Linked DNA regions of Drosophila melanogaster. The protein of the gene in region 1 interacts with the protein of each later gene in a pairwise test. Each region holds a gene or a part of one and is shown in the gene's direction. Other genes may lie near its edges. The genes, in order: pip, CG1598, CG10996 and por.

Region 1 (8,712 bases):
AATTAATTAAAAAGGGCGCATAGGCCGAAAATGCATTTTTACTGCCGCCAATTGAGGACAAAACTAAAAATCGAAAACACGGCCGGCAGGGCATTTGAATAGTTAGCTTTAAGCCCGGCTAAAAATGCTGTAACTACTTTGTTGGCCACCATTGTCACTCACACAAACTCACATCTCAATCATCAGTTCGGTTCAGTTCCTTCTCTCAACCAAACCAAACTATGGAAATTTCTGTGCCAACTGTGTTTAAAGTAGAATTCAAAGATAAAATACGAGATAAAAGAGGGGGGGCCGGCGGATGGAGAAATTGAATTATGACCGCACACGAAACATTGCATATAATTTATTTGAAATGTTCAAAAATAAAGTAGACGAAACGAGAAGAAAACGCTGCGCGATGGTAAATAACAATATAATACAGACAGCTGTGTAAATAGTCAAACTGCGTACAGTCTACGCATATTTAATTAAAAACCGAAAAAAAAACTGATAAAACTGAAAAAAGTGACGCAATGAGATGGAATTTGAGAAAGGAGATCATGTCTTAAGTTCCATTTCGGAATTCACCCGATTTTCATTTCCTTTCACCGTTCGATAGAGTAAGTTTCACTTGTATGATAAATAAAACTAAACCAAATATTTATATAGAGATATTATACGTATATGAAAAGGAAACCTTAAGTTAATGACGCACTGAATCAAATAGATGAAACGAGTATTTAAAACCAAGACAATTAAAACCAAAAGGAACTTTAAGCAAAATAAAACCGATGAAAAAATTAAACTGAACACAGAGCACCTTTCTCTATTAGCCAAAATTGCAAAAGTGGGTGGTTGGGCGTTTGATTTTCGGGTGGAATAGATGGGGTGTTTAGTGGGTGGAATGCCAACTGTTCCGTTTGACGCTCGGGGGAAAACCGTTGGCCAAACTAAGGCGAACTCAAATCGTGTCCAAATAGCTGGCAGTCAAGTAGGCCACAGATTTTGATTGCCCGCATCCGGGCAGCAATCGGTGGACATCCTCGAAAATTCGGAACATCGAACGAGATGCTGTTAAAGCCAAGCCAAGCCGGTAGCTCCAGGCGTGTGTTCTCACCGGTCGGAACTCGGATTGGCCGTGGGATCGGGTTGTGGCTATGGGCTTTCCATGTCCCCCGCCTCGCCCACGCTGAGCCCGCATAAAACATAAGCCACCGGCCTGGTGCTCGTGTGGTGTGTGCTCTATATCCCACAGATTTCGCCTCCTCCCTCGGATTGCCCAGTTCTCTGACTCCGTGTTTATGGCCGGCAGCTCTGTTTCTGGACCTGGCAACTCTGGCCCGTGGACTTGGCCAAAATGGCTTTGATGGGCGTGGGCGACAAAAGGACCGGAAATCGCTAACGAGGCGTGGTAAAGCAGTTTTTGCAGTAAGTTTGAATATCAAGGTAGATACTCAAAAAATTGAATAACAAAGCATAATCAAATTTAATGGAGGGATCTACCTTGAATGTATTTTGTTATTATTGTATTACAGCTTATCAAACTAATCACTAGTATGTTTGTTGCTTTTATTTATTATTAACACATTTAAATATCTGGCTATTAAAGTTAATAATTTTGCAGTTCTTTTTATGCCGTGGTCATTAATATACATATAATACATATATCTACTAAAAGTATTCACTCTAGATTAATGCAAATTGATGAAATTATTTATTTATCGTACGCACTTACATATAACATATACATATAATATATTAATTTAGAATTTGTGTAAATAATAAATTTATTTACCGAATACGATTTTAAATTTCTTTTATATATTTAAGCGGATGTATTAAACATGCCAACCAATTAACATGGAAAACCTCGCTGCATAAAATACACTGCCGAGTATTGGCCAAATATAATATATACGCACACCTGCCACAAACTCACACAATCAGCTATTTGTGTTTGCACCTAGGGCCAATTGCAGTTGTTTACAATCGAGTTGGCCAGCTCAGCGCAATCGGCACAGCCACAAAGGGACAGTTGGCAGCAAAAAACCATGGCATCGGACCGAAGATATAGCCAACATATTGTGAGCGACCACAATTGGACAGCTGATAAACTTAACCCGAAAACCGACAGCCTAACAACTCGTCGGCTTTTAAGTTTCGAAATCGGAGAAAGAGTCTGATCATTCAGATAGCTCAATTATCTCAGTCGATTTGGACAGTCATCAATGCAATAGGCAGCAACTTTACAAGTTTTTAGCTACTCACTTTCTTGGTACCAAATGCTGAAATACCTTTAATTATTACCAGATAAACACAAGACATGTGCCGCCAACGCATTTCGTTTTAATTTTACTTTTATGTTTTGGCTGTTTTTATGTTGAGGCTGGCGTTTTTCCATTTTTTTGCAATTGTTATCGAGAAATTTACACGAATTTTCAACTTGTTGCTGAAATAAAAAAAGTTTAATAAGACTAAACAATCAGTTTTTTGTCGGTCCTAAAAATGTGGACCTATGCAGATAGTTATGGGTAAACGCTTAAATTCGACAGCCGTCTGACGCCAGTTAGTGGACAAGTCAGTTACAGTGAGAGTTAAAAGTTAAGGTACCTGAAAAAGATAATTTAAAGTAATATATGATAAGACACACTTAAATAAAAGAGTAAAGGTATAAATATATTGAAATCTAGTATTAATTCTCGTAAATTAAAAATTCGTACCTCAATTTAATTTTTAAATGTTCTAATTTAATCGGAAAAAAGATTTCTTTGAGGCACTGTGCCATAAGAGTCAACTGTTGAATAAGGGTCAATGAGCTTAGCTTTGTGGACAGCAAGTGGGGAGATCGCGGAATCCAACTCTTGTAGAAACTATAGATTTGAGTTTGGCAAAAATTAAGCTTAGATCCCGAAGTTTGGCTAACGAACGAGGCGAGAAGACAGACATCGAGAAGAATCGCTTATATATGTACGAATGGCCAAAACTAATCGATGGAAATTACAAAAGCGGGAAGGTCAACTTTTCGACTGTCCATTGGGGGGGATGGGTTCAAAGGTAAACCTGTTTTTAATTCTAATTCTCCCTTCCTCTATGAAGAAATAGAAAAAACTAAAGTTCTTATTTTTGCCAACGTGGTTTGGATCACACGCAATATGTTCTATTCAACCGAACAAATTACCATTAAGGTCGGTAAACCAGCTGATCCAATAAAGGATATTGAAACAAGTGCCCGAAATTCGATTCCTTGCGCAGAGAATAAAGACACTTCGCTGTTTGGACGACCTAAATAAATATGTCTAAGTAGATTAATGTCAGATGTGGGGTAATAATAAAAATGTTGCCACAGACAAATGGGCTACAGTCACGTCCCCACGAAATCAGTCAGCCAGCGAACAAAGAGCGATCAAAAGAGCGAATAAACAGAGCCAAAGAGAGTCGAAGAAAATGGTAAAAGCAAACAGTGGTAAGCCGCCGCTGCCAACGTCTTAAAGTTGGCCAAAAAGGCGGCCAAGTGCCCCCAGGAACATTCAGTCAAGCCGCGATCGCCGAGCTCTACGGACGTCTATATCTCTAAGTCTTCGAATCGTGAATCGGAACTCAAGTGAACCCAAGTGCCGACCGGAAAATTCTTTCGGCCAAGAAAGGTCTTCGAGAACTAAGATCTCAAGCGATTGTGTTTTTTGTGTAATTGACATTGGATGTCTCTGAACGCCGAGCGATCGTACAAAATGAAACTGCGCGATGTGGAAAATGCCTTCAAATACCGGCGCATACCGTATCCCAAGCGGTAAGTGTGGTCTTCAGCCGAGAAAAAGGCGGCGGAGAAAAGATTTCTTTCACTCGAGAACGGTGTTCGTTTCAAAGGGGAAATGCAATTGAGTTCCAGTTTCAGTTAAATTGAAAACCGGTCATAATTGCCATTGAATGGCCAGAGAATCGAAATCGAGTTGGTAGATCGAAGATTGCGTTTGCCGCAGCGCTAAAGATTAAAAATACTCTGCTCTCGATTCTCCATAAAAAGCGCTTAACTTTCCGTTTTTCGCATCTGGCTAAAAGTGATAGTGTTTCAGGGTCGTTGTATTTGATAAATAAAATTAAATAAAAACTCCAATTGCTGGCCAGAGCAGTTCGAACATTCTTGACGGACTTTAAGTAGTGCCAGCCAGTAAATTAATTGCAGCTACACTAGAAGAAATAGATATTTTTGATCTTAAATTTAATATGAATCTCATCGACTTAGATGGGTTTATGTAGATCGACGAGCTTTAAGAACTTTATTTTAAAAAATTGATTGAGTACTTTTAATTAAGCTATGAAAAATTGTTACGAATGCTGATATGAGCTTCCAAGTACTGTATCAATTGAAAATATTTTCAAAAATTTATATATACAAAAAGGGGTCTATTATTTATCCTTTTATTTTTTTTGTATTTATTATTTATACTTTGAAAATGTTTTCTTATATTTTGAAGACTTATTAAAAGCAAGTATTAAAGCTTTGTAAACACTGTACTTCAACATTTAATTTTAAATGTTTCATAAACTTTTCTCTGTGCACTTGCGTCTGTCGTTTTTTCAATCTCTGCTCCAGTTAAAAGCTACAATCTTGTTTCTATTTTTTATTGCGTTTTTCATTTTCAATTCTTCTCATAATTCATTTGGTGTAGCACCTCGGGGCGGCAGATGAAGAGGAGGAAAACCACAAAAGCCGAGCTCACTTCAACTATTTCAAGTAGCCAAAAGAGCCGTGTCTTACCACCATCCTACCACTGCATTGTGTGGGCCTGCATTTTTCGGTGTTTGTTCTGGCCTTTTACAGAACCCAACTCGGCTCAGTTCGGGCCAAGTCAGCTCAGATAAAAGTTAAGAGCCCCCCAACTTGACTGCCCGCTCATTAGTCGATGGTCGATGGTCGACGGCCGGCGGTTTCTGCGGCCGCCCATAACAATTTTGGCTATTAAAAGGTGTTTAGGCCAGAGAACTGAGCCACTGCGTCCGCTATTGTGAAAGATTCGCTCTTTTTTCCGTTTGTATGGCCAAATTTGTTGCAACGAGTGCGTCGAGATGTAAACTAATGATATACCGACTACACATGTTATGGGCTAATTGGCTTTTGGGAAACTATTTCTTACCGTTTTTGTTGACTTTTTAAAAGGGTGTGAGAATTTGCTTTTCATTAAGGCAAAACGTGGTGAAGTCATGGCTCACAGCTATTTGCGTATAACTGTGAGATCTTAGCTCAAGCTAATGGCAAATTGGATCAACGACATACATATGTTTTATATTTTATTTAAACATTTTCCCACTTATTGAGTCCCTGCTAGATATCCTTTTTTCCTATAAAGCCCTCGTTAATTTTCGCGAAGCGAGGCCCATTTCCCGTTTATTTGCAGAACAAATTATTACATTAAATGTATGAATTACTGGCATTAATTAAACACATGGCTTAAATGTAGATATGTGTGATACTTTCTGTGGTTACCGCTGGCTGGAGCATAAATTTTACGCTCATTTTGACAATTTCATGCAGCTGCAAACTCTCAGTCAATCAGTTGGCCACTCAGTCAGTCTGCCAATCAATCAGGTAAACATTTATTTTTTATCCATTTCCGATGGCCAGGCGACTTAGTGAAACGAGTAATCTTGCCATTTGCACAACAAAATAGTGCAAATATTTGAATATGGATATGATTTATCACAACAGATACGAATTGTCCTGCAGAGAAACATAAATACATAAATTCCCAGCCATATTGCTGCGTACACTTACGTCGTTATTTGCACAATTCTTTTGTACGCTCTCAAATTGATATTAATTAATGAAATTAATTGGTTTTGCTTAAATAACTCGGCGACAGATGTTTGGCAGCTTCATTATCCGGACACGCGATAAATGAGCATACGTAGAAAATGAGTTCGTTGCACCCAGTTGAGAAAAATCAGTCGGAATCGATTCGAATCGATTTGAAAAGTCAAAAAAGACAATTATACGCTCAATGAGTGGAATGAAGTGCAGTTATGCAATAATTTCTTTCGAATTAGCATAAATTACGTTTCTGATTTGCTTTCCATTTGGATTAGGGTTTACCTAATACAAAAAACAAAACTCACTCTTATTTTCACTGCAAGCCGAAGCGTGACAGAAATTATTTAGAACGCCCCAAAAGAAAGAGGGCGAAGACTCAAGCCGCGCTTGAAAAGACTGTAGCTGGCTCTTCGCTGCCGAGTCTACAAGTCTTCAAGTCTTTCTTCTGTGCGCCTTTCTCAGCAATTCTTCTCTTTCTTGCCAGTTTCTTTCTTTCTCTGGGCGCCACGACATGCAGTCACTTACTCTTTGGTAATTATATTCAGTGATGTGATTTGTTTTTCTTTTCTTCATTTTCTTTCGAGTTTTGCATGCCGTTTTGTTTTATTTTGCCTGTCTTTCTGCAATGGAAATGATGCATATTGGGAATTTTACACGCTGCCGGTGGCCCGCGGGAAAGTTAATTATTGCTGTCTGTCTGCGGCGGGTGGCAAATTAAAAAATAATTATTAACAAAAACATATATATGTGCTAAATTTTATGTTTTAAAACGGCAATTAAAATGTTTTTCTTCACACACTAAGAAACAAACGAATTTATAGCTGTAGGGTTAAATACACGACTTTCTTTTTTATGGTTTACAAATATTTAGGAAAATATTATTAAAAAAGAATGAAACAAGTGAGTTGGGCCTTACGAGCTTTTTTCCGCTTACACAATCTTGTTTACACTCTTAGGATTTTTAACAGTGAATTAAGCGAAACAAAAATATATAAAACCTATATTAAATGGAATACAATTATCATATATAAAAAATTATTTTCAAAATTATTAGCTGTGCCAAAAACAAACTTGGCTCTTTAATATGGTATGTTTACCCATCCAATTACATATATTTTCAAAGTTTACAGAATAACAAGAGCACATTTTGAGTGCTTTTAAGCCCGTATTTTACACAATTTTCGTAAAACTTCACACCTAACCCGCATGATCAGGTGAAACTGTAGGCCCTCTGCCCACATATGACTCCCTTTTTCACTGATAATTTCGCACGCAACTTTTGGCAAGTGAAAGCCCACAAAATATTCACATGTTTTGTATACATTATAGCAATTTATGACCACAGCCGTTTAGCACCTTTCAGAAGAGATGACCGGCAATTTTACTGGGCCAATTTCGGAGAGCAACAAACGCCCACCGGTAGTCACTAACTATGTGGCTGTTATTAGTTGGCCATAAAAACAAAAACTTCGGTTATGGCTGTGTGGACATCAAAAACAACGCCCTCTCCCACGAAAGAGTTTTTCTACATTATGTAAAAACGGTCGAATGCTGGGCGCAGAGTGGCAAACACAAAATGCTAAAAAAAAAATTCGCAATATTTTTAGCACAGTTTATGTATTACGGAGGCTCTATAAGAAAGCCAAAGCCAAAGCTGATTAACACAATCATGTGAAAAATGTGCAACACTTTTCGGCTAAAAATAAAACAAGTGCAGAGATATAGCCAGACGCAGCAGACAAGTGGAAATTATGTGTATAGCTTTCACTTGATTTACAAATATGGGCTGCGGGACAAGGGGGCGTGGCCAGCAATGCGTAACAGCCAAGTGATGATGACAATGATGAATTTTTCTTTTCGTCTTCTGACGGACTTCAAGTTTCAAGTTTGCCAGGTGTAAATTGATGGCCAAAAAGGTGAAGTTGAACGAAAGGTGCATCTAGTTCAAAGTCATTGAGCATGGTCTTTAAAATGAAATAGTCATGGGTGTAATCAAGGTAAAGGCTAGTCAAATGTTTCATAGGGCTAAGTTGAGGGACTTGTTGTTGTATTATTATTTTTTCAAGGGTATACAATAGCTAATAGTCCAGCGCCCAGGTGGCGCATCTTTTCAGTTTTGTACAAATGATCATCAACTAATTACCCTTTCACCGCGCTGATAAAAACAATGAAGAAAACTCATTAATAGCACTACAGCCAACATGGTCCCCTAATTTATTTAGGCACTTCCTTGCCCGAAAAGACTTTCATAAAAATTATCTTTATGCAATGCATAAAATGTTTGAAGAAGCACATAAACCTCCTTTCAATTTGTGTTTTTCCCCAAAACATATAAAGATGTTGTTACTCGTACTTTCATACTTCATAAAATTTGATTGTTTTTGATCAAATATGCATGCAAAATGCTATAAATAAGAAACCAGGCTAAATGTGAATAAAAAGCAAAATGTGTGTGTTTACTTTTTTTGCGACCGTATCCGTACGTTTCTTTCTTTTTCTTTTTTTAAGTTTGCCAAATGCAGACGAGGCAAAATTGAATTTAATTTATCTGCTGCTTCTTCACTCTCACACAGCGAAAGTGAGTTAACGCTTAGCTTGAGATCCGAACTTGGTAAATACCTCGAGTATGTAAATCACTTTTTACAGCCGGCAAACTGCGAAGATTTATGGCCACCAGCTACTTGGGCGAGCAGAATATTTAACGGTGGGACATGTCTGGGATCCCAAGAGATAGATCTCCAGGTGGGCGGTGCTCGTCTTGGCCATCAGGTGAAAGCATTGAACTCCAATTAGCGGGCGCATTTATGATTCTTTTCACTTTTCCGCCAGTCAAGCGCCCAGAGAACTTTCGATGTTAATTGGAATAAAATAACTAGTTTTTAAATAAAGAATTCCCGAAAATAGCTTACTATACTTCACAGGCATAT
Region 2 (7,756 bases), on another chromosome or scaffold:
TTTCACACACTTTTACAGTTAGCCTGCATTGGTGTATTGTCCTGCTGCTTCCTCTTCTTCAACTGCTTTAAATTTCACTCAAGTTAAACTCTCTCCCCGCTCGCCCACTCCCTTCTCTCTGCCTAGCCCAAAGCGTTAGTTGTTGTGATACTAGAGCTGTGTGTTGTATATTCCGTGTGTAGCTTTTCAACTGGCTGCTCGGCTGCTGATGCCGTTGTTGTGCTGTTGTTGTGGGCCACTACAGCTTCTGCTACTACTTTTTGCTGCACGCGCCGCCTCGGTTAGCACGTGCTGTTGGCCACGACGTCAGTCAACGACAACCGCCTACGCACTGCAGGCGCCGAATCGGCGACGCTGGAATTTCAATTACAATTTTCACAGACTCAAACAGCCTCTCTCTCGCTCTTTGGCCACAGGACCTTCTCTTTGGCAGTGGTGAGTTTGCCGGTAGAAAGAGAGCGCTTCAAGCTGAGGCATCCGAAGTTTTTGCAACAGTGGATAAGTGGATTATTCAAAAGCTTAATGCTTTCACTTACAGTTGAAAGTTGAAGCCAAATGTTCTGGTTAAGTCCTTCATAGAAAGGCACTAATAAAGCCGGTAATGTTTGATACTCGAGGTAACATCTACAAAATGTTTACTTTTGTACATTGTTTTGTACAGTTATTTAAATGTTTTAATAAAAATAAATAAAAAATTGCGTACACGACTAGGTGCACCTCGCAAAAAGGCATTTAAATAACAATTTAAGTTTAGGTATCCTTATACCTAATGCATTGCACTATTAGAGACTATTACCAGGTCATCAAAATAATTTCGATATTTTAGGTTTAAAGGTCTTTTTATCGCGTTCAACACTGCGTATGATCAATATTCGAAGACGAGTGCATTTCACTTTCCTCAGATTGAAAGTGAAATAAAAACAGATAAATTAAAAAAAACTCATTTGTTATATTATTTACTGAAGATTAATTTGCTAAACAATGTCTCTTAACGCAAAAGAGAGAGCGGGGTAAAGAGATAGAAAGCGAGCGCCGAACTCACCACGCTTGGATGGCTGTGGAAGGAAAGTGAAAGCCATTTGCCGGCTGACAGCTGGCACCCCTCTCCTCCTTTGGACTCTCCGCTCACACCCACCATCCGCCAAGGTGAGTGAGCAAGGCGGTGATGAGAAGGGTTGGCGGGTTCACCTCTGCTCGGATAATGCGCTTTGTGTGCGAATTAAGATTCCATGTTGTTGGCTCCTGCTACTGTGTGGTGTACTTGCGTTTGCACTTGTGTGTGTTTATTTCCCTTGATGCGCCTAGACCTCTCTTTCACTCGCCCTCTCTTTATAGTATCGCACTCCCAACTGAGCGAAAACTAAAGACAAAGGATAACGCAACAACAAGTGAGGAAGTCATAAATTTAGCCAACGGTTAACAGGTGCAATTGAAATGTTTGCCCTTAGAGACAGATAAATGCACTGACTTGCGACGCCTGCAATCGTGTGTGTGCGCATCCTTGTGGCGCCACAAGCTACAAAAGTCCTAGAAACAGTTAAACAGTTATCTAATGGTGATATATCATTTAGACCACCGGAAAACGTATTCCTTAATTGAATTTTGTGTGACTTTTGAACTTATCAACGAGTGCGCTAATTATCCCCAGCAGAAGATCAATCATATTCAGCGCCTGTCGACCCTTGCTCAATTTATCAAGACGTGGCCTACTCACCGCCAAATCCTTGACAGTCTGCTGCAACTGGATGTCCTCGAAGTGCACTGTTCGACGGTTAGGGCCCAATTCAAAGTCACGGCCAACAGCGACGGCCCAGAGCGGTCGCTAATCGAAATTCCGCAACGGAGTGTCGCGTACGGTGGAAATTTATGCAGAAATGCGAGCTGTGAGTCAGCGGGATTTCAGCGAGGGAAAACTGAGTGACGCGCTGTCAGCGGAGCTCGGAAAACTCCGTTGGCAAGACAGCCTGTTGCATGCCACCCGACGAACGCCCACCACCCACAACCCACTTCGGATGAGTGGCAGTTTGGCGTGGCGTTAATAAGCGCCTTCTCCCACGGCAAATCCCCCCAAAGGCCACTTGAACCGGGAGTGCCCACTATGCTGTTGTTTAATGAAAGCTTTCATCACAGGTTGTCCATTAGGTTTGAGTCTAAGCAAACACGTTGACCCTTGGAAAACCCCAAATGGTTAATCACAATACGGACCAGCGTAAGAGAGCAAGATATTCGGTCTTAAAGCAACTGGGAGCCCTACAATTTTGTACCTTTTTGTGGATTGTTAAAAATATTATACACAACTCTTTGACAAACCTATTCTAAGCAAAAAAAAAACGAATGTTTTTGTTTAAATTAGTTCAATGATACACAATAATACATATGTATATATAATTGTAGAAAGAATATTTCGTTGAAGGGGGTAGTTTGCACCACAAATGAAATAATGTTTTTGTAGCGACTGTGAGTTACCCGTTAATCAGTTAGTTAAGCGCTAAATAATAAGAGATATACATTCAATAAAGATAGCGCTGAAGTATGCAAAAATGAAAAGCATTAGCTTTTCAATAAAATGAGTCTTAAAAGTCGATAAATAACGTTAATGGGTATCTGATAGTCGAGGAAATCGACCGTAGCGCTCTCTGTCTCGTTCTTTTTAAGTTCCAGACCTGCCGAAAAGTGCATTTGATATCGAAGGCTTTGTGGCAAAGGCCTATTAATTAAAACTTTGTTTCCATAACGCTCCTTTTGTTAGGTGCCGTGAAGAATTTTAAGGCTCCAGTAAGTCCTTCCCTCGCATCCTCATTTTGGAGCTCCGGCATATTGAGAGTGCAGCAGCGAGGAATGCCATAAGGACTCCAAAACTTTCCACTTGCCACGCCAAACTAATCGGATTTAATTTAATTAGTTGCTCAAAGACAGCGAGCTGCGGAAAGTGGAAAACACCGGCGGCGACGCAAGTTGTATGGAGAAGTGCGGAGACAAAGTACTTTTTCATTACAGTTTTCCAGAACAGGGGAAAGATAGCCGCATGTCGCGCGGCAAATTGTCAGGTGCTAAGCTTTGATAAAGTGAGCCCTCGAAGGACTCGGAGGACTCAAGGGACTCGAAGGACAATGAATATAAAGCTAAGCTCGGCCAGGTGAAATGCGGCGAAAAAGCCCCTAACAAAATGCAGACAGAAACATTTATTAAAAGCGGCGCGCGAGTGCCCATTTCAATGTTGGTTTTTCTACGGATCCAAAACATACATTCTACGTTTATGCGAAGTGTTTTTATGGTTAGATATGTTTTTAAGATAATGTATTTTACAGAAATTAAATTTGCAAATGCAAATTAATTTGCATCAAACATAAAAAAATATCCTCTTTAAACATAGTACCATTAAATGAATTTAGCTTTTTATGACAATAGCTAATGTCGCTTATATAGGAATATATGTACATACCTTTTCAAAGAATTTGTATATTGAAAAACGACGTCTTTTGACTTAATATTTGATTTAGTAACACCTATGTATAAACGCATTTTTAACAAAATTTCCGTAACAAAAATGATCAAAAACAAACGTAATATTACATGTTTGGATAAAATATTAAAAATTAAAAATTAAATCTAACTAAGAAAATCAGCAAACCATGGCTTGGACAAAGGATCAGTTTCCAGATTCAAAACCAATTAACGCATAAACTACATACATACACATTAAAAATTTTGAATTCCTAAACTTTTACACATAAACGAAGCGATATGTCTTTCCCCTGCCCTTTCACCATCACAGGTCAAAGTTTCCCGTTGAAAGTTTAGTATGGGAAGTTGCGGGAATAGGTGCCAGGAGGTGGGGGAGCTCAGGTAACGGTAACTGAAACGTTCCCATCGCTGATTTCAAGCAAATTAGCCGTTCATATGTGTGTGTGTGTGTGGGAGCTGGGTTTTTTGTTTATGGAAAGTGTTATTGTTTGACTTTGAACTTTCCGCTTGTTTGCTGTCCTTGCGCCTGTGGCTGTGTGTGCGAGAGTGCGAGTGTGTGCTTTGGACCAAAGCCGAGAATGGCCCAAACAATATAATAAAATTTAATGCGCTCATATTTCATGGGCCAACAAACGCACGCACGCACAGACAAAAAGCGGATCTCGAAAGCCCAGGGCTGGGCAAATAAATAAATCATCCAGCCAACTTTATCGCTTTATTTTAAAAAGCACTGCCAGAATGATTGAATCGTTTCAGTCGCATAAAACGGATTTACACGCATATGAGGCAAAAACACTCTTGTTTTTTCACCAAGCGATTTGTTCTCAATTTTTTCAGTTCAACTTTTAACAGCCATAAATGGGTTTTCAATAAGCCGTTCTGTATCAAAATAAAAAAATATTTTTGGTTGTACAATATATTTTCAGCTTGGCGATAAGTTAATATCAACAAATTGTCAAGCGTGTGTGATTTTAACGTTAATTGATCTGTTTTTAATTTAGCTGCTTAAACAGGCGATAGGAAAACTTTCTCATCAACTTTGATAACATTTTTCGCATTCAATATCGAGGAGTATGATAAACTTTCTTACGTATTCAGGCCCACACAAGTGGGCACAGCGCAGAACAGAAATTAAGTGTTAAAGTTTAACTTTAAGGTTCACAGTTATCAGTTTTTTTAAATAAATCAACAGAAAAAAATATAGTCAACTGTCTCAACTATTAGATATACATATATGTATATTTATAATTGCAAAAAAAAAGATAAAAAGGGTTTTGTTCAAATATTACATTCATCTTGTATATTTTTTTGATGTAATATCGTCCAAACCAATGGCCCATTAAATATATATATATATATATATATCCCTTCCATCTAATTTTTGTTTAAATACTATACATTTTTAAAACTATATTAAAACTGTATTTATCCACTATCAGTATACATGCATGGAAGCAGTTTTATGAAAACAAACAATTTCTTTTATTTGAGTACATACCTTTGTCGTTTATTAATTTAATAATCCCCGTTAAAATGATCGTCTAAATATATCTGATTTAAGTGCAAATCAAATGTTATTTTCAATAAGTTTTATCCAATGTTTGCAATCCACTCACAATAACATCCACAGAGTCACTCAAAAATGGTCTAGCTCTTGGAATAAGTATTATTTTACAGCGCAGCTTCCGTATTCTGTGATAAGTTGAAATAACTCTATATACGCCGAGTTCAGTAAACGACAAAACTAGGCGGCAATGGACGGAAATCGATGTGGTTTTGGGGTGAAGCCCATAATGACACGAAGATACCAAAAATCGAAGCTATTTAACGCGGACGCCCAACGGCGAAGGTGTTTTCACAACTATTTTTAGTAGTCCATAGCCACTTGGGTTTGTGCTCCCTTGCTGCTCGCATTTTCTCGCCGACACTTGGGTTTTGATAAGCTCGCGATTTGCACAATTAACAGTGATGGGTAGAGCGGGCGCGGGGAACACGGGGACGGGTCAAGCATCCGCGGCACTTATTGTGATTTTCTTGGGCTGCGAGCGCGCTTTGTGCATTTAATAGGCACGATAAAAGCGGCGGAGCTTTGAGCATGTACGCAGCAACAGATTTGAGAATATTTTTTTGCTATTGTTATAACAACAACAATTAGTTGAAACTTATGTTAGTTTCACACCGCTGGCAGTTTTGTTCTCACTTTTGTCAAGTTTATTGAGATTTGCAAAATTTTATTTTCAAATAATTTTCCTTTGGCGCCAAATGAGCATCCATCCCTGGCAGTGCTTCGTGATCAGCTGATTTTAGTGCCTATCAACTTATACGTATGCATACTAAAAACGGTCACTCTGCACGCCAGAAGTCATATTCATTGCTTATAAGCAATTATTAATTTCAACTAATTTCATACGTGTCTCGCTTTAGTGGGCATTATGGCCGACAATTTGGAGCCCCTGGAGCCCAGCCTGCAGAATCTCGTCGAGCAGGACTCCCTCAAGTGGATCTTCGTGGGCGGAAAAGGCGGCGTGGGCAAGACGACTTGCAGGTAAAACAACAACAACAAGCCAACTTTCTCGGTTGATCTAATTAATCTTCGTGTTAAACATAGTTCTAGCCTAGCCGTTCAGCTGTCGAAAGTGCGCGAATCCGTGCTAATCATATCCACAGATCCGGCGCACAACATATCGGATGCATTCGATCAGAAGTTCACCAAGGTGCCGACAAAGGTTGGTGGAAGAATCCGGAAATGAAGTCATTTACCATTGTATAAGCTAAACTAAAGCACATCGCAATTCCTTTTCCGCAACCAGGTAAATGGCTTTGACAACCTGTTCGCCATGGAAATCGATCCAAATGCCGGTCTCAACGAGCTGCCCGAGGAGTACTTCGATGGCGAAAATGAGGCGCTGCGCGTGAGCAAGGGCGTCATGCAGGAGATGATCAACGCCCTGCCCGGCATCGACGAGGCGATGAGCTATGCAGAGGTTATGAAGCTGGTCAAGGGCATGAACTTCTCGGTAGTCGTCTTCGACACGGCGCCCACGGGACACACGCTGCGTCTGATTGCATTTCCCCAGGTGGTGGAGAAGGGGCTGGGCAAGCTGCTGCGGCTCAAGATGAAGGTGGCGCCCCTGCTGTCACAGTTCGTCTCCATGCTGGGCATGGCTGATGTGAACGCTGACACACTCTCCCAGAAGCTGGACGACATGCTGCGCGTTATCACCCAGGTCAACGAGCAGTTCAAGAACCCAGTACGTAGAAACATGTATTTAGCTCGTACAACGCCTAATCCGCATTCGTCCTTCGGCAGGATCAAACTACATTCGTCTGCGTGTGCATAGCAGAGTTCTTCTCGCTGTACGAGACGGAACGACTTGTGCAAGAGCTAACCAAGTGCGGCATCGACGTCCACAACATCATTGTAAACCAACTGCTGTTTCTGCAGAACTCGCACGACTCGTGCAGCATGTGCGCCTCCCGCTTCAAGATTCAGGAGAAGTACCTGGACCAGATTGCCGACCTGTATGAAGACTTCCACGTAACCAAGTTGCCGCTCCTCGAGAAAGAGGTGCGCGGTCCAGAGAGCATCCGTTCTTTCTCCGAGAACCTTATGAAGCCCTACAACCCCAAGGGCGAGCCCAAGGAATAGGATAGCCCGTCCAACCCTTTACCCATCCGTTTGTAAGTTTCTTCCTTAGTTTGTGTGAACAGAAAGTGCGTAAAATAAATTAAAGTTGAGGCAGCGATCCCCGAAGGGATCTGCTTCGACGTGTAATGCGTAGACAACGCTTAACGGATGCAGTATTCCAAACTGGAGAGGGTTACAACGAATGATACTTTCAAAGACCGCCCCCGGCACGCTCCATTTGCATTACGGTGGGAAAGTTGCTGCCTTGCATCTGCCTTTTGTGGTCCAGATACAGCCGTGCGTACCGCAGGTACTCGGTGTTGCCCTGCACAATAGCCGACATGAGCAGAAGGAACTCATACAGGTTCACCTTGCCCTGGGCATGGACATCAATGTCCCGCAGGACATCGTGCATCAGGTCGACGGGCACCTCCTTTACGCCCATCGTTTTCATTGCCTTGCAGCAGTCTGCAATCGACACGTACCCCGTATTGTTATCATCCATTTGCCTGAACTGCCCGGCAAACTTGCGCACTTGGCGCACGCTCATCTTAATGGGAATGCTCATCTGCGAAGCGCTCTCCTTGGTCAGCTGGCCCATCTGGGAGTTAAGAAAAGTTCGCGTCTGGCGGATCTGCTTTTTAATTTGATCTCGCGACCAGT
Region 3 (7,391 bases), on another chromosome or scaffold:
GGATCAATATCAATACAGAATCCACAGAAAGTGATTCAGTATACTTACAAAATAGTATCAACAAGTAGCCTATTAGATGATAGAACAATAATTTTACGCTTAAAATTCGTGTATTATACTCAAAGATAACCAACGAGACGCTAACAATCACAAAACTGTCATAGAAATCACATCGTTTTTTTGTTTTTATTTTGTTGTTGAAGAAAAAGAAGAAGAAAAAAAACACGAAATAGAATTATGAACAATAATCGATGACTAAGTAAAATGGTACGTGGCTACTTACCATATAAAATGAATCGTCAGGAGAAATGCGCCCGGCACCACGAGATCATCAGAGCCCACAGACCAGCGACGTCTGAAGACCACAAGTCCAGGCATCTGAAATCGAAAGAAGCGAGAGTAATTAGTTTTAAACTAAAGAGCATGTACAAATCTAAATAACCAAAAAGTACAAGATTTATAAATAAATTATTGATAAATAATCAGTAGTAGATTAGGTTCGCAACAAAAAAAAAGAAACCTAATTTCATAACCCACAGAAATGTGATTATTATGCACTTCAACGAGGTGCAACACTGCGTATGAGTGATAATCTTAAACTATATCACTCATACGCAGTGCATACGATATGATCCGGGAAAGATCCTGACACCAAAAGCAATCATGATTATTTTATGAACTTATTTATTTATTTACTTATTTACTTTGGTCGCAGCTGTTCAAAAATTGCACCGCATAAGGTTGCAAGCTGCCGCTCCAAATTGTAATCCCGTTGGAAATTAAGGGGCAACCCTTGCAGCATTCAAATGCTCAATGGTGGTACAGTACAGTCATGCTTGCATGCATATATGCAAAGCGAACGACTTTGGAGCAGCTTAAGGTTCCGCCCACGACCACGCCCGCCACCCACTTCAACCCACTTGGCCGATGTCAACCAATAGTGCCATGTAAAGCAAAGCATAATCAGGGTCAAACATGAGCAGGGCGTGCCAAAAAGGGGTGACCAATAAAACTGCACCGAAAGAAATGCAGCAACATTGGTTAAATGGTACACAAAGAAAAAACAAACAGGTTTAATAACCAGTTATTTCAATCATTAATACAACATCATTGCTAGAGAGTTGTTCTTAAAGTAGACGTTCTTCTATTCTGTCTTCCGAAACATTTTGATTGGAAACCCTCCAAGCAAAGCAAATATCAGGGATATTTTCTCTGTGTGTAACAACTTGTTGGGCGGTGTGGTATGGGTCATCATGTTTGGGTAAGCCCACCATAATCGCTGGCTTGACATTGCATCGGGTTGCGATAAGGCGCTCCTGACATGGCAATCGTAGAACGGAATGTATGCTCACATATTTGCATATCCGGAAACTTGGGTATTAACAAGACTAACTAACAAAATAACCTAGCTAAGTCATGGCGCTAAGTTATGCATAGTGTTCTTATCGACTTATCGGTCACGAGAGTGCCAGCTGTGGCAAATGATTCACCGTCTTTATCGGCGGCATAATCAATACGTTAAATCAATTGCGATTGCAAAGTTCATTTGTGCCGAATCAGCATTTGATATTACAATGCCAAAGATTTCGCCAGTCGCTTATTTATAGACTAAATGCGTTTACGATCTCAGTCAATATAAACATAAACAAGCACATAATAAACATGCTGAGTGCCTCGACTAGAACTGAATATCTAAAGTTCTATATACTAACGACCTTGATCATTCGAACGATTTGAAATGCAAATTTCAATAATGCTAACCATATAATAATACAAATTATTATTTGCTATCTACCCATGGTTTTCTAATCAATTTGTGTTTATATAAACATTAGTAGTAGACTTTCATTATTTCGAATTATTATTTGTGTTGTTCAACAGTCATCGAGTTATCATTAATTAAATAAAATGAGCTTATCCATTAAAATGTTATTAGCTATATTATTTTAACAAATCAACCAGTGATTCTTATTATTACACAGTGATTATTGTTATAATTATTTACATAGCCAGCAAAAGTAATATTGACTGTATATAAAAGAATATCTATACCTATGTATAAACAAACTATAATATCGACATGGAAAATTTCAAAAGGAATTTTAAAATGCTGTATATTATAGGCTTTAACGGTGTTGTAAATGCGAAATTGTTTTGGCAATAAGAAATGCTTTTGTCCGTTTTATGGATAAGGTAAACATCGAAAAGATAATAAATTTAAAAACTACTTAAAAATGTCCAAATATTTAACAATGAAATTAAACGAAACTTGGATGCTTTAAGGAGAACGACTAAATGGTAAATAATAAAAATTACCGTCATTGAATCTTGACAACTAAAACAAAAACGACTGGATATTACATTCTAAATTAACTTCCGCATAGAAACCCTATTTTATTTAATTTCCAGAATGTTTCTTCAGTTTTAACCCTTGTGTTCTGCCATCAAATATTAAGTACCAAGTCGAGAACCTTTCGATCTTAATTATAACTTTGGCCTTCTTCAGCTAGAAAGCCAATTTAAAATGCTGACCTTTGCAAAGATATGGAGCTGTGTCTCTCGAGTCTCTCCTTTTAAATGGAACGGATTTCGGTGACAGATTTCATTGCTGCAATATTTATCACCTACCTACCTGTCGAAAGCTTAAAGTTCGAGCTGCGTAATTTCAAGGCTATTGATCCAACTGGCTGTTCTTATCGGCAAACATTTAACTTTCGCCAGCGAATCCGGTGGCAGACCAGGCCAAATATCAAAGGTGAAGCAACCAAAGCTGCAATCTAAAGGCCCAGTAACTTTGACATTGGCATTACCATTGCCATTGGCCTCACTGAACTGAACTTTAAGCGACAATGGACGAGGATGACTGACTCTGTGACTGTGACGACGATGCGGTGTCGATGTGAATGACGAGCGATGATTTTGCATTTATTTGCACACCATCCTTATATTTTCTGTGGGGTGGCGCCAATGAGGCATGATATGGAACCAGCGGCACGGACAGAAAGAACAATGCGGAGGCTTCCTCGCAGGCAACTCGAAAACCCATTACAACAACTGCAGGTATGAATGCACCCCACTGTTTTCTCTATGTACACTTGCAAAAAAAAATGGTTCTTTTCTAAGGATTTCTGTTCTCTAAACTACACTTCATGTTATCAAGGTGTTAAAGGGTTCATCGAAGAGATATGTTTATGTTTGAAGCCCAAACACATTTATTCCTATTTTCATTCCAATTTGCATTGCTTTTCCGAGACTACACACGATTTGTGCGAGTGTAGTGTGAAAAACCACGCAGCTGTCGAAGAAGCCGTAATGGGGCAAGGGCAAAGTAATTGATGGCAATCATTATTTTGTTCTGTCTCCGTCATATATCGCAGCATATTCAATTATTCAGTTATTGCCATTATAAATGATGATAATTCCTGTCACTGTTATTGGCTGAATAATCATCCGTAGCTAGCACATTTCGTACCAATTTTTCGATTACGTTCCCTGTGTGATAGTTGTACACCGTGGTCCTATAGTAAATCACACACCTCTATCGATCTTTTACCGAATGAATCGCGGATGTGATGACCTGCGTTCTGGGTACTGCCAACAGGCAACGCACGATAAGATAGTCGCGATGCAAGAAATTTATCTATGCCTCGGCAAGAGTGCGATGTACGAACAGGTGGCATGCCCTCGAATCAACAAATTGCCCCGATATTACCGCCATCGCATCGCGAAACTGAAGTTGAGTGGTGAATCCGTAGTAAACAGCCTTGATGGGTGCAATTAACAACTGGATTTATGATAAGCCATTAAGTCAATTTACTAAGAGTGTGTGTATTGCAGTTAACTTCAAGTTGCATTTGTGGAATCACAAGTGTGACAACTCGCTTGAACTGATGATGACTAAGGTCGCAAAATCATAGTTCTTTTATTGGAATCTACTTGAAAGTGTAAAGGAAAGAATTCGATATAAAAATGTTAGCTTTATACACATCACACATCAAATTAAATCATCAAATCGTTTGAAATGAAGTTAAATTGTCAGCATTGCCTCTTAAAATTAAGTTCCCATCGCTGTGCACTTCCAAGTTAGAAAACGTTGGTAACTTTTACACTTTATGACAGATTAATTGCAATTCAGTTCAATCTAAGACTGAAATGCCAGCTTGTGTAAGGAAATAATTGAAATTGACATGGCTGAGAACTGTTAGCAATCTGCTGGTTTCCGTGATTAAAGTGCATTTGAAACACACACTAGTCTCTCTCTAGTCGGATTTATCGGCAGATGAATTTTTTATTTTATTTTTATTTTATAAAATATATTTTTTATATGTATCTACCCACTTTTTTGTTCAACAACTTTGAGTAAACTTTCAAAAAGAAATTCACACAGAAGGAAAATTTAAAGTAAATTCAAAATTCAAAAAAGGTTTATCCCTAATTATGGTTAAGGTTGTGGAGGACATCTTTGGTATTGCGACCAATCCGTTTACCAAACAGGCCCAAGTGATTCGTCGCTACACGATGACCAACACCAATCGCCTGTCCGTGGCCATCATCCAGCTGGGCGCAACAATCCAGAGCATTCAAGTGCCAGATGCCTATCACCAGTTGTCCGATGTGGTCCTCGGATTCGATGATGTTGCCGGGTATACGAAATATAGAAATTATCATTTTGGTTGCACGATTGGCAGAGTCTCGGATGTGGTGGGCAACGGCGAGTTCATCATGGACGAGCGACGTGTCGTTGTATCCAAAAATCTCGGCCAGAAACACCAAACTAATGGTGGCTTTGTGGGCTTCGATCAGGTCATTTGGGATCTGGAAATGAAACGACCGGATGGCGTCACCTTGCGTCATATATCCCCGGATGGACACGAAGGTTATCCTGGGACCTTGAAAGTATTACTTCACTTCACCATAAATGACGACAATCGGTTTTTTATACAAATTGAAGCTACCACTAATCAAACGACGCCGGTAAATATATCCAATCATATCATCTTTAATCTGGCTGGCCAGTCTACCGGAATCAAGGGCATTTTTGACCATCAAATCAATATTGAGGCAATAGAAACGATGGAAACATCAAATGGCGACGGACTTCCCACGGGTCGATTTAAGAACGTTAATGATTCCGTATACGATATCCGATTGCCAGTATTCATGGGCGACCGAGTGCGTCAGTTTGAAAAGAAACCGGTAAAGGGTTACGATGTTTGCTTTGCTCTCGACAAGGAGTTTGATGCAATTAGAACGCGTTATGTGGGCAGATTTTTGCATCCGGATTCGGGCAGATTTATGGAAATATTCAGCAATCAGCCGTGTGTTAAATTCACCACCGGCAATTGTTTTCCCCAGGAACCGCTTGGTGAGCCACCAATATTGGGTAAAAAGTGCACCCGCTATTGGCAACATTGTGGCTTTAGTCTTCAGCTACTTAACTATCCGGATGCCGTAAATCAGCCGGATTTTCCACGCATCTTCATCAATCCGGGCGAGCATTATTTCCATGAAACCATCTACCATTTTGGCGTTCAGGAATCGTGGAAATGCTGTGCCGATCCGGAGGAACTGGAAGCCCTGGGCGAAGAACCACTGCGGAAACCAAAGGCCGTTTGAAAAGCGCAGAGAAGGGCCCTTGAATGGCCGCTACTTATGTAGGCCGTTTGAGAATCGCAGAGAAGGGCGCTTCCATTAAACTGTGCGTTCTATGGTAGCAACTTTGTGTCCTCAACGTAATAAAAATTTTCTAAGTCGAGTAATCATTGAATAAATAAAATTTGCTTCTCTATTAAAATGCCATTTGTATATATTATCGCACAAAGGAATTTTAAAATGCTGTACATTATTAAATAGGTCAAAATATTTAATAATGAAATTAAATGAAACTTGGATTCTTTAAGGAGAACGACTAAAAAGTAAATAATAAATGACCGCCATTGTATCTTCACAAATAAAACAAAAACGACTGGATATTACATTCTAAATCTATTTTCATACAGAAACCCTATTTTATTTCAAGAATGTTTCTTTGGCCTTCTTCTGCTAGAAAGCCAATTTAAAATGCTAACCTTTGCAAAGATGTGTCTCTCGAGTCTCTCCTTTTAAATGGAACACATTTCGGTGACAGATTTTATTGAAGCAACCAAAGCCGCAATCCAAAGGCCCAGTAACTTTGACATTGGCATTACCATTGCCATTGGCCTCACTGAACTGAACTTTAAGCGACAATGGACGAGGATGACTGACTCTGTGACTGTGACGACGATGCGGTGTCGATGTGAATGACGAGCCATGATTTTGCATTTATTTGCACACCATCCTTATATTTTCAGTGGGGTGGCGCCAATGAGGCATGATATGGAACCAGCGGCACGGACGGAAAGAACAATGCCGAGGCTTCCTCGCAGGCAACTCGAAAGCCCATTACAACAACTGCAGGTATGAATGGTCATTATACCCCACTGTTTTCTCTATATACACTTGCAAAAAAAAAAATTGTTCTTTTCTATGGATTTCTGTTCTCTAAACTACACTTCATGTTATTAAGGATTTCTCGAAGAGATATGTTTCAATTAATGCGTGCGTTTGATGTCTTCTTATGTATACCCTTTGAGAAGCGCAGAGAAGGACGTTTCGAAAAATCGGTGCGTATTAAAGATGTTTGCCATTTTTGTTCGGTAATGCTTGATATGGAAAGGGAGTTTCAAGGCTAGTCTAGTATAATGAAAAAGTTGGCTATGCTGTATAAAATTAAACATATATTCACATTATACGTATATTTGAGTTATTTATTATATCAAATAGAATAAACATATATTCTATAAATGATTGTTAAAGGCATTTCTGTATTATTAAGTCGTTATACAAAATAACACACAATAAAGAACTTACAAAGCTTACTAGGGAAATGGGCAGGATGTTGCGCTAGTTAATAGAACAGTAGTTTGTTTGTTTCCCATTTCCTGGAAACTCGTGGCGTAACAAGTGCTTACAAAGGATAAATGAAACTACACTGATTTTCCAGCACATTACATTTATGTCTGCTGGCTGCAAACAAATAAATGAATTCCAAGAACTGCAACAACAATTAAGGCATTTCGAAAACGTATCACAGTTTTCAGCTCTTCAGTTAAGCTAATGAATTAGCGGAAATGCCAAAGAAATAACGCAATCAACCTGCAGGAAAATCGTTTGTAAAGCTCATGGAACTACCCTCGAACATGAATATGCGGCTAATGGGGCATCTGGCACGTTTTGGATCGATTGGAAATGTAACCTGATGTTTTGTGTACCCCAGATTGTTGACTGTTTGCTTTTGGTAATACTAAATTTAGCGAACATTGCCTGCGAATACATTTTCTTAAAGTCTATAAAAAGCGAAAGCGAAGGCC
Region 4 (8,439 bases), on another chromosome or scaffold:
GATACTGCACCTGGGCAAGTCCGGTTTCCCTAGCAAGCCCATAACCAACGATGACACCGATCGCATCTTCGTCTGCCTGCGCACGCTGAGCGAACGCACGCCGGAGGCTATCTCCGTCTTCACACTGTACTGCCGCGAGGCTCTGGGCAAGATGCTGGATGCGCAGCACGACGAGGACCAGCGCATGTTGAAGGAGAAGCAGAAGGCCACCGCCAAGGTGCAGCCGGACGATCCGGTGCTCTTTGCACAGCTCTCGAACGGACGTGACAATCAGCTGGGCGAGAATGTGTTCGAATCCAGTCTGAACCAGGCGTTGGCCGGCAGCAAGAACGCCCAGCTGAGCGACGTGGCCTCGCCGAACAGCAAGCTCAACAAGGTCACCCAACTGACTGGCTTCTCGGATCCCGTCTATGCGGAGGCCTACGTCAATGTCAATCAGTACGATATTGTCCTGGACGTGCTGATCGTCAACCAGACCAGTGAGTAGTGCATCTTTAGGCGAAAGGGCATCGCTTTCAATCCATGAAATCACTTTCAGACGACACGCTACAGAACTGCACACTGGAGTTGGCCACATTGGGCGATCTTAAGCTGGTGGAGCGCCCGCATCCAGTGGTCCTGGCTCCGCACGACTTCTGCAATATCAAGGCCAACGTAAAGGTCTCCTCCACAGAGAACGGCATCATCTTCGGCAATATTGGTGAGTTGCTAATTGCGGAATTCGCTGTTAAAGTGCACTCACGCTCACTTATGGCGCTTAACCAACAGTTTACGAAACCGCCCTGAACACGAATGTGGTGGTCCTCAATACCATTCACATCGACATCATGGACTACATAATTCCGGCCAGCTGCACGGACACCGAGTTCCGTCAAATGTGGCAGGACTTCGAGTGGGAGAACAAGGTCACCGTCAACACCAGCTTCACCGACCTGCACGAATATCTCAAGCACCTGCTGAAGAGCACCAACATGAAGTGCCTCACGCCGGAGAAGGCGCTGTCCGGCCAGTGCGGCTTCATGGCCGCCAACATGTACGCCAAGTGAGTGTCCAGCTGTCCACTATGGAGTAGCCATCATATTCTCATCACAACTCATCCGCTCACTTTGCAGGTCCATTTTCGGAGAGAATGCCTTGGCCAATCTGAGTATCGAGAAGCCCGTCGATGATCCCGATTCGAAGGTGACGGGACACATACGCATTCGCGCCAAGAGTCAGGTGAGAGTCGAGCACAAACCAGCCGCACATCTGCACATGGTCATGCGCAACTTTCTAATCCGTATTCCGTATTTCGCGCCTTTCACACAGGGCATGGCCTTGAGTCTGGGCGACAAGATCAGCTCCTCGCAGAAGCAGTCGGTGCAGGCGGCCTAGTGGACGTGGAACTGGACGTGGACGACCAGCCACCAGCAGGAGCGACGTATCTAGACGACGTACTCGGCCACCTGCCCGCATTCCGCCAGCTGCAGCTTCTTCAATTTACATTACACGTTACAATTATACATAAAGAATATAATATTATACCTTAACCCCAAGATTGGCAGTGGTTTCATTTGACGGGGCTGTTTCCATAGAAATTCGGACTACTGGTTAATTGGTTGTGTGGTACGAGTATCAGTGTATTTATTTTGTTTTTTCCTATTTAACAATAAGTATGTATGCACTTCGTCTTGCAATAAACGAAAAGGTAGAATTGGAACAGATAAAATACCCAAGTTTTGTATAAGTTATGATACACAATTGTTTTAAAATCTGGAGAAATAATTGATTGTTTAAACTAGCTAGTGCTAAAACGATTACATTTCTATTGAAGTGCTCCCAAGTAGCTGGCGGCTATATAAATTCGTCTTAGGCCTGGAGCATGGGCCGTTTTTCCTTGGCCTGGAGGTGGTCGTTCGTCGTTGCGTAGCCAGTGCCGCCCTGTGAAATAGTCGAGAAACCTTAGCAATGCAGAATAGTTGCACAGTTCGCGATGTACTTACTCGCTGCAGGGGAATGATGTCCTTCTCCTTGAGCTTGCGATCCGTGAGCGGATGGATCATGTCCTTTCTGATCAGCCGTTCCACGCACTCCATGGTCACCACATCGCCACTGTAGTGAAGAGGTTACTATTAAAAGGGTTTTCAACGCGAAATCCCAGCGAGCACTCACGTGGGACGCAGCACAGCGCAGGGCACCGCGTTGCTGAGCACGTCGTGGGTAATGGGGCACATGTAGCGCGCCTCCTTGGCAATCAGCGAGCGCTTCGTGTCGCCGTCCTTGAGCAGCGTGAACTTCACATCAATCAGATCCTTGACTCGCAGCGGTTTCTGCGACACCGGGCAGTAGATGGTGGCGTCGGGCTTCTGGGCCTTGGCTAACCCGGCATTGGGGCACTCGGAGGGCAGCCAGAAGCTGGGCAGCTTCTTCTCGTGCCCGTTGGTCATGTTGGATATCGAGGATGCGGACGAGGATTCAGATGAAGCGGCAGCAGCGGCGGAAGAGGTCGACGGCTTCTCGCTGGCAGCGGCCGAGGAGTGGGCGGGTGTCATCGCTGGCTTCTCGGCATTAACAAAGCGCTCCATGCGCGCCTGCTGCTTGCTGTTGGCCTCCTGGCTCAGTTTATCCTCCTCCGCGCGCCGCAGACGCTCGTACTCCTTCAGTCGGCGGCTGTACTCGTTCTTCTTGGTCACGATGTACTGCAGGATGGCCTCCTTGTCGAATAGATAGCCATCCTTGGTGATCACTGGCCTGCGACATGGTTGCAGCGTCAAGGAGCAGCAGTCGAAGGATTTCACCGAATCCTTGCCCAGGCGCTGGGCATTCGTGCCGTAGCCGGACTCCGCCGCGTCACGCTTCTTCTCGTTGTAGGTGTACACGGCTCCGGCCGTGCAGTTACGTGCGTGGCGAGTCATTTCAATAGAGTTTCCTGGATTTGGCAGCGAAAAATTTGAATAAACTGCTTAAAATAGTTTATTTACTGCTAGATACGGTGTGACCGTATCTTGATCACTAAATAAGCTGAGACGCAATGGAAATCCGCTGAAATCTGCCAACTCAATAGCCGATAAAAACAACGAGCTATAAGCTGATACAAAACCTTTTCATCACTTGGTGTACAAAACAAACAGTTTTACAAGTTTAATACATTTTTTTTTATTTTGATTTTTAAAACTGTTTAAGCTACTGGTATTTTCAGCTTAGCTATAAACTAGCTATGAGTTCGAAGCCACCGATGTGGTATTTTCGGTATATTGCGCGGTATATTCTTTGCAAATAATTCCAAGTCCTCGGATTTCCGGGTTTTTCCTTGATTCCCCCGGATTGTATTGGCTTTGGGCGGCCGGCGATGGACTACCAGTACTTCGAGGAGGAATCGGACTACATTGATCTGGACGAGGAGGAGGAGGATGACGACGTGGTGACAGCCGGCAGCTTGGACCACAGATTTGGGCAGCCAAACGGCGAGGAGGACTATTATTTCGGCGGGGACGATGTGGAGGAGGAGCTGGTGGTAGATGGACACGGTGTCCTGGAGCTGGCCGGGCGCCTACTCGAGAGCCTGCAGAGCTGCGTGCAGCCATCTGTGCTGCAGGTCATGCAGTATGTGGCGCCCATGCTGCTCCTCTGCCTCCTGTGCCGCCTGCTGTGCCTCCTCTACTCGCAGCGCAGACGCCTCACCAGCCTGGCACCGCTGCATTTGTTCCACTTCGCCTGCGGCTTGATTATACTGCAGATCACGGTGGGCTACCGACTGCTCCTACTTCTCCTGCTGGCCGCCGTGGGCTACCTGCTGCTCCAGCTATTGCGACTGGGACGAAGAGGAGCTCAAGTTCTGGCCGTTCTAACCGTGGGCAGCCAGTTCCTGTACGAACTGCTCATTTGGCGGCGGCGCAGTGACTGGCCACAGCTGCGCGGCATCCAGATGGTGGTCAATATGAAGCTTATCTCGCTGGGCTTCGACCTGACCGCCAGTGGGCAGCTGCAGGCGAGGATTCCGGGTCCGTTTGCCTACCTGGGCTACATCTACAGTCCGGCCACCTGCGCCTTGGGGCCCTGGGTGAGCTTCGGCTGCTACATGGACTGTCTGGTGCCACGGAATAGCTGGCTGGTCAGCCTGCGTCGCCTCTTGCCCAACGTGGTGATCTGCGTGCTGGCCGTGACCGTGTCCAATTGCGTGGCTCCGGCGCTGAGTGACTTCTTCGGGGATAGCTCGCACTTCCTGGTCATGTACTGGGACGCACTGAGTGTGCGCAGCAGCCACTACTTTGTGGGCATGATGGCGCAGGCGCTGCTGGTAGCCTCCGATCAGCGACTGGACGGTGCCACCAAGGAGTCGGACATGCTGGGTCCGTTGATCTCGCAGCCCTGGCGCATCGAGTGGCCGCGCTCGATCAGCTCATTGGTCCGGAGCTGGAACATTCCCATGCACGAGTGGCTCAAACGGTACATCTACGCGCCCTGCAAGCCCACCGCGTCCACCTCGAGGGGACGCATCCTGGTGGTCGTGCTCTCCACCTATCTGGTGTCCAGCCTGCTGCACGGCATGGATCTGCGCATCTATCTGGTGCTCATCTCGCTGGCGTTCCTAGCCGAGGGTGAATCGCTGCTCAGGCGGCAGCTCGCCAGCCTCCTGAATGCCTGCATCACTGCCAATCTGTGTCCGGGCAAGGAACGATGTCGGTATAGCCACTGCCCGAGCAAACGGCGATTGAACTCCCTGTCCTACTGGCTGGCGAGGCTCACTAATCTGGCATTCACGGCGCTGGCCATCTTCCACCTGGCCTATCTGGGCGTCGTGCTGCTGGGCGATGACCTGGAAGTCGGCGAGGATGGCGACTCCTTCCTGTGGCACTGGCAGCAGGCTGGCTATCTCAGCCACTACATCGGTTTGGGCACCTTCGTCCTTTACCTGTTCATCTCGTAGACTCCGCAGGATCTTGCCGTCGCCAATACTCACTATGACTGATCTACACGTATTTATATTTGTAATCCCAAGCGTATATGCGCTTGTACTTTTTGTATCTTGTATCTATCTATTCGTATCTTGTAGTCTGTGTGCTGTGTGAGTACTTAATATTAAAGCATTCTGTGAAACGGACGCTGTGACGCGCTTCAATTTGGGTTCCTCTCAACTTCCAGCTGAATGGATAGCACTCCTGGGGGAAACTGGAACAAACGAATTTCCAACTGCCCCAAAGCCACCCCATCCATCCTGATGAAAATGCATACGAATTTGTTCAAATATTTTTTATTGATTTTTTAATGTATATTTTTCTTTGTTGTTGGTTTTGTTTTGCTTTTGTTTGTTTGTTGGTTGGTTGTTTTCGTTTGTTTGTTTTCTCATTGAGACAAATATTTATAACAATATTGTAATTTCTACAGATTTTTCGCCTGCGTTTGTATTTGCCATCCTTTTAGTTTCGGCACGCGATTTATTATGAATCCTTTTTTGTATTGGGCTGTGGCCTATCGTTTGTGTTTTCATTTACTTTGTTTTTCCGCGCTTACGATTTAGTTATTAAAAGTACTAGCTTAAGAAATATGCAATGACAATAAAAATATTTTTATTTACTTTGTTGAATGCAACTTTTGTTGGTTTCATTTGCCCTTTTTTCAGCGTTCCCCCTTCTCTGACTTGGCCAAAAAAAGCTGATCTCCTCCAAACTTCGCCCTTCGTTTTTGTTTTTGCTTGTGTTTCGGTTTTTTTTAGATTTCTTTTTGTTTACTCTGCTTTCCATTTTTTTTTCTCGGAAATTTGGATTCGGACATCAAAAATAGAGCGATATACAATACAGGGTTTTCTTATGGTTTCATTTCCGTTTCCGGTGCTTCATTTCGACATTGTTTCCGTTGCGCTATGCTAGATAAAAAAGTTCGATCTCTGTACCCGAATTCATCATTAATTTATCGTATTTGTCCGTCCCTTCGTCTCTTTTCTACCATTTCATAACAACAACTGAGTCGATCACAAGAGATAACGAGAGTGTTTGCCATCTATATATATATATATATATATATATAAATAGATATATAGATATAGATATATAAATCTGTAGCCACGCGTGTGTTCCGGCCAAGATCGTTCCCTTTCGATTCCGAACTGGATTCACGGTAGCGTGCAGAATTGTCTGCTTAACCAGGTTCTTTGGGAGCGGAGAGGGTTCGTTTAAAATTACGTAACAAAGTGTTTGAATATTTAACTCCATGCCCAAATCCCAGACAATCAATTCATCCATTCGATTTAAGACTAATTCTACAGATACACATTGGCCGGCACACACGCATATATACATACTACACGCACACGCATATGTAAATCAAGTGAAACTAGCGACTTTTGAACAATTTTAATTTGGTAGGCCCAGAAAACCCATCTAGAAAGGACTCTGGTGGATTGGGCAACCTGCTGGTTGACTATATCCTGACATATGGGCACACAACAACAATTCGCTAAGAAAAAACACTTTCGCTAGACACGCACGTTCTGCTGCATCGATTACGAATTAGGTAAAACAAAAAATTTAATTACAATAGGTAAGGTAAGGTAAGGTAAGGTGTGCATGCGGGGGGGTGTGGTGAAAGGTCTTAGGTTACGGAAACACATGTTCGTAGGTAAACTGCAGTATCGTTAAGTTAGCGAGTAAACTAGGGCATAAACTAAATCGTAAACATAATATTACATCTTTAAATTACAAACATAATTACATTGTGTGTCCGGCAGATAGACCCTCTGTCCCTTCCATCCGGTTCGGTTCGATTAGGTTTGGTCCGGTTCGGCCCGTCTGCATCCCAACAACAACAACAACACGATCCCCACAGTTAATGTACACGCTACCACATGCAGCATCCCATGCGTATAGAAATCATGATATGCGACCGGCCAGCGGCAAGGATCGATCCACCATTGTTGTCCAGAACAGAACGGAATAGAACAGAGCGGAGCGAAGCGCAGTGATCGCCGTAACCGTAACCGTAACCGTTGCCGTAGCCGTAACCGTAGCCGTAACTGGAGGCGGAGGCGCAGGCGGCGCCAGAGCCCCGCCCACATTCAATCGTTCTTGGTCTGACAGTAGAGCTCCTTGAGCGACTTCAGCTCCTCGATGAGCGCTTTGTTTTGGTTCTCTAGCACCGCCACTCGATTCTCCAGGCACTTGATGTACTCCTTCTTCTTGCGCCGGCACTCACGCGCCGCCTCCCTGTTCTTCTGCAGCCGGATCTCGCGCTTACGGGTCTGATCCTCCGCTATCCCGCTGTTGTCTGCAAAAGGAAAAAGTTTTCAAGGATTGGATAATCAGTCATTCAGCTGGCTGTAAGCGATGTGTGTGTGCACATCTCCCAAAGCGGAACTCTCTGTAACTCGAACTGAACTGGATTTCATAGTCATTGATGGTTTGGATTTGGTTTCACTTCGATGTCAACACAAATTGCATGCAAAAATGATTGAACACACCATCCATGTTCAACTAAACAATTTGAATAAAAACGAAAATAATGCCAGCATGGAATGGAGCATTATCAAAGTTATCAATTACAATCATTTGAGTCCATATGCTGCAGTTAGGCGATGAAGCAGTTCCATGGACGCTGATTCATCGCCTACATTCAGCTCGATAACTCGATAACTTCAATTTGATAGACCCTCGATTCCAGTTCGATTTACGAGTGGTCCTGCCAAGTCGCAACTAAAGGCTAGTTTTGGAGCGAGGCTATTACTGGTGTTGTAGGACATCCGATTGGACAGGTAGTACGTGGGATCCAATTGCATCAGGGAGCTGTTCGCCGCATTGCCCCCCGCTCCGGTCCCCGCCAGCTGGGAATTGAGCACGCCGTCGGACATGGGAAGCGATGCGCCTGGGATGGGGTTCGATTCGATTTGATTCGAGTTCGATTCCGATTCGAGTTCGGTTTGGGGTTTTGATTGTCGTTTGTTGTTGTTGTTGTTGCAGTTGTTGTTCAGAACATTATCGAATTTTATATATCGTTTTTTTATTTTTGTGGGTTGGGTGGAGGAAGGCGTTCGAAAAGAAAACAATGAAAAAAAAACAACAATAAAAAAATTATAAGAAAACATATTTTCCATTTTTCAGTTTTCAATTGGAAGCTTTTGAAAATTCGGATTGGTTTTTTTTTGTTGGTTGGTTTATGAACTTGAGTGGTGTGTGCGAGCGAGAACGGCGAGCGAGCGAGCGAGATAGGTAGATTGGTTAGTCAAAGAGAGTGGAGAAAAGCTTTTGATTAACGGTTAAAGTACTGTTAGGTGAGACGTTTGCTTGTACTTCTTCATTACTATTTAATATTTGGCATAATGGGTTGTGTGTGTAACAACGGCAACAACAACAACAACAGCGATTACAGCAACAACAACGACAGAGAGGCGGCGAAAGAGAGAGAGAGGGGAGGGCGATAGAGAGAGAGATAGAGAATTGTGGGCAAGAAGACAGCAGCAATAGTTCAAAT

The links.
Region 2: the proteins of pip (region 1) and CG1598 interact in a two-hybrid assay, tested with the Drosophila melanogaster proteins (one large-scale study listed by BioGRID).
Region 3: the proteins of pip (region 1) and CG10996 interact in a two-hybrid assay, tested with the Drosophila melanogaster proteins (one large-scale study listed by BioGRID).
Region 4: the proteins of pip (region 1) and por interact in a two-hybrid assay, tested with the Drosophila melanogaster proteins (one large-scale study listed by BioGRID).

The regions. Positions count from the first base shown.
Region 1 is NT_037436.4:19,332,396-19,341,107, reverse strand, and holds the start of pip (pipe), read left to right. Parts: upstream 1-3,498; 5' UTR 3,499-3,677; coding exon 3,678-3,766; intron 3,767-8,712. UniProt on the Drosophila melanogaster protein: Sulfotransferase involved in dorsoventral axis patterning in early embryos.
Region 2 is NT_033778.4:7,537,732-7,545,487, reverse strand, and holds CG1598 (uncharacterized protein), read left to right. Parts: upstream 1-5,791; 5' UTR 5,792-5,897; coding exon 5,898-6,010; intron 6,011-6,073; coding exon 6,074-6,191; intron 6,192-6,275; coding exon 6,276-6,716; intron 6,717-6,775; coding exon 6,776-7,114; 3' UTR 7,115-7,256; downstream 7,257-7,756. Other genes in the region: Gpo2 (glycerophosphate oxidase 2), read right to left, coding at 7,305-7,756. UniProt on the Drosophila melanogaster protein: ATPase required for the post-translational delivery of tail-anchored (TA) proteins to the endoplasmic reticulum. Recognizes and selectively binds the transmembrane domain of TA proteins in the cytosol.
Region 3 is NC_004354.4:13,794,666-13,802,056, reverse strand, and holds CG10996 (uncharacterized protein), read left to right. Parts: upstream 1-4,418; 5' UTR 4,419-4,437; coding exon 4,438-5,616; 3' UTR 5,617-5,668; downstream 5,669-7,391. Other genes in the region: inaE (inactivation no afterpotential E), read right to left, coding at 49-155, 284-378.
Region 4 is NC_004354.4:18,374,643-18,383,081, reverse strand, and holds por (porcupine), read left to right. Parts: upstream 1-3,227; 5' UTR 3,228-3,328; coding exon 3,329-4,906; 3' UTR 4,907-4,955; exon of another isoform or gene 4,956-5,032; 3' UTR 5,033-5,561; downstream 5,562-8,439. Other genes in the region: betaCOP (coat protein (coatomer) beta), read left to right, coding at 1-479, 539-700, 769-1,042, 1,113-1,218, 1,309-1,374; CG6179 (uncharacterized protein), read right to left, coding at 1,849-1,920, 1,983-2,091, 2,152-2,894; CrebB (Cyclic-AMP response element binding protein B), read right to left, coding at 7,031-7,239, 7,696-7,833. UniProt on the Drosophila melanogaster protein: Protein-serine O-palmitoleoyltransferase that acts as a key regulator of the Wnt signaling pathway by mediating the attachment of palmitoleate, a 16-carbon monounsaturated fatty acid (C16:1(9Z)), to Wnt proteins.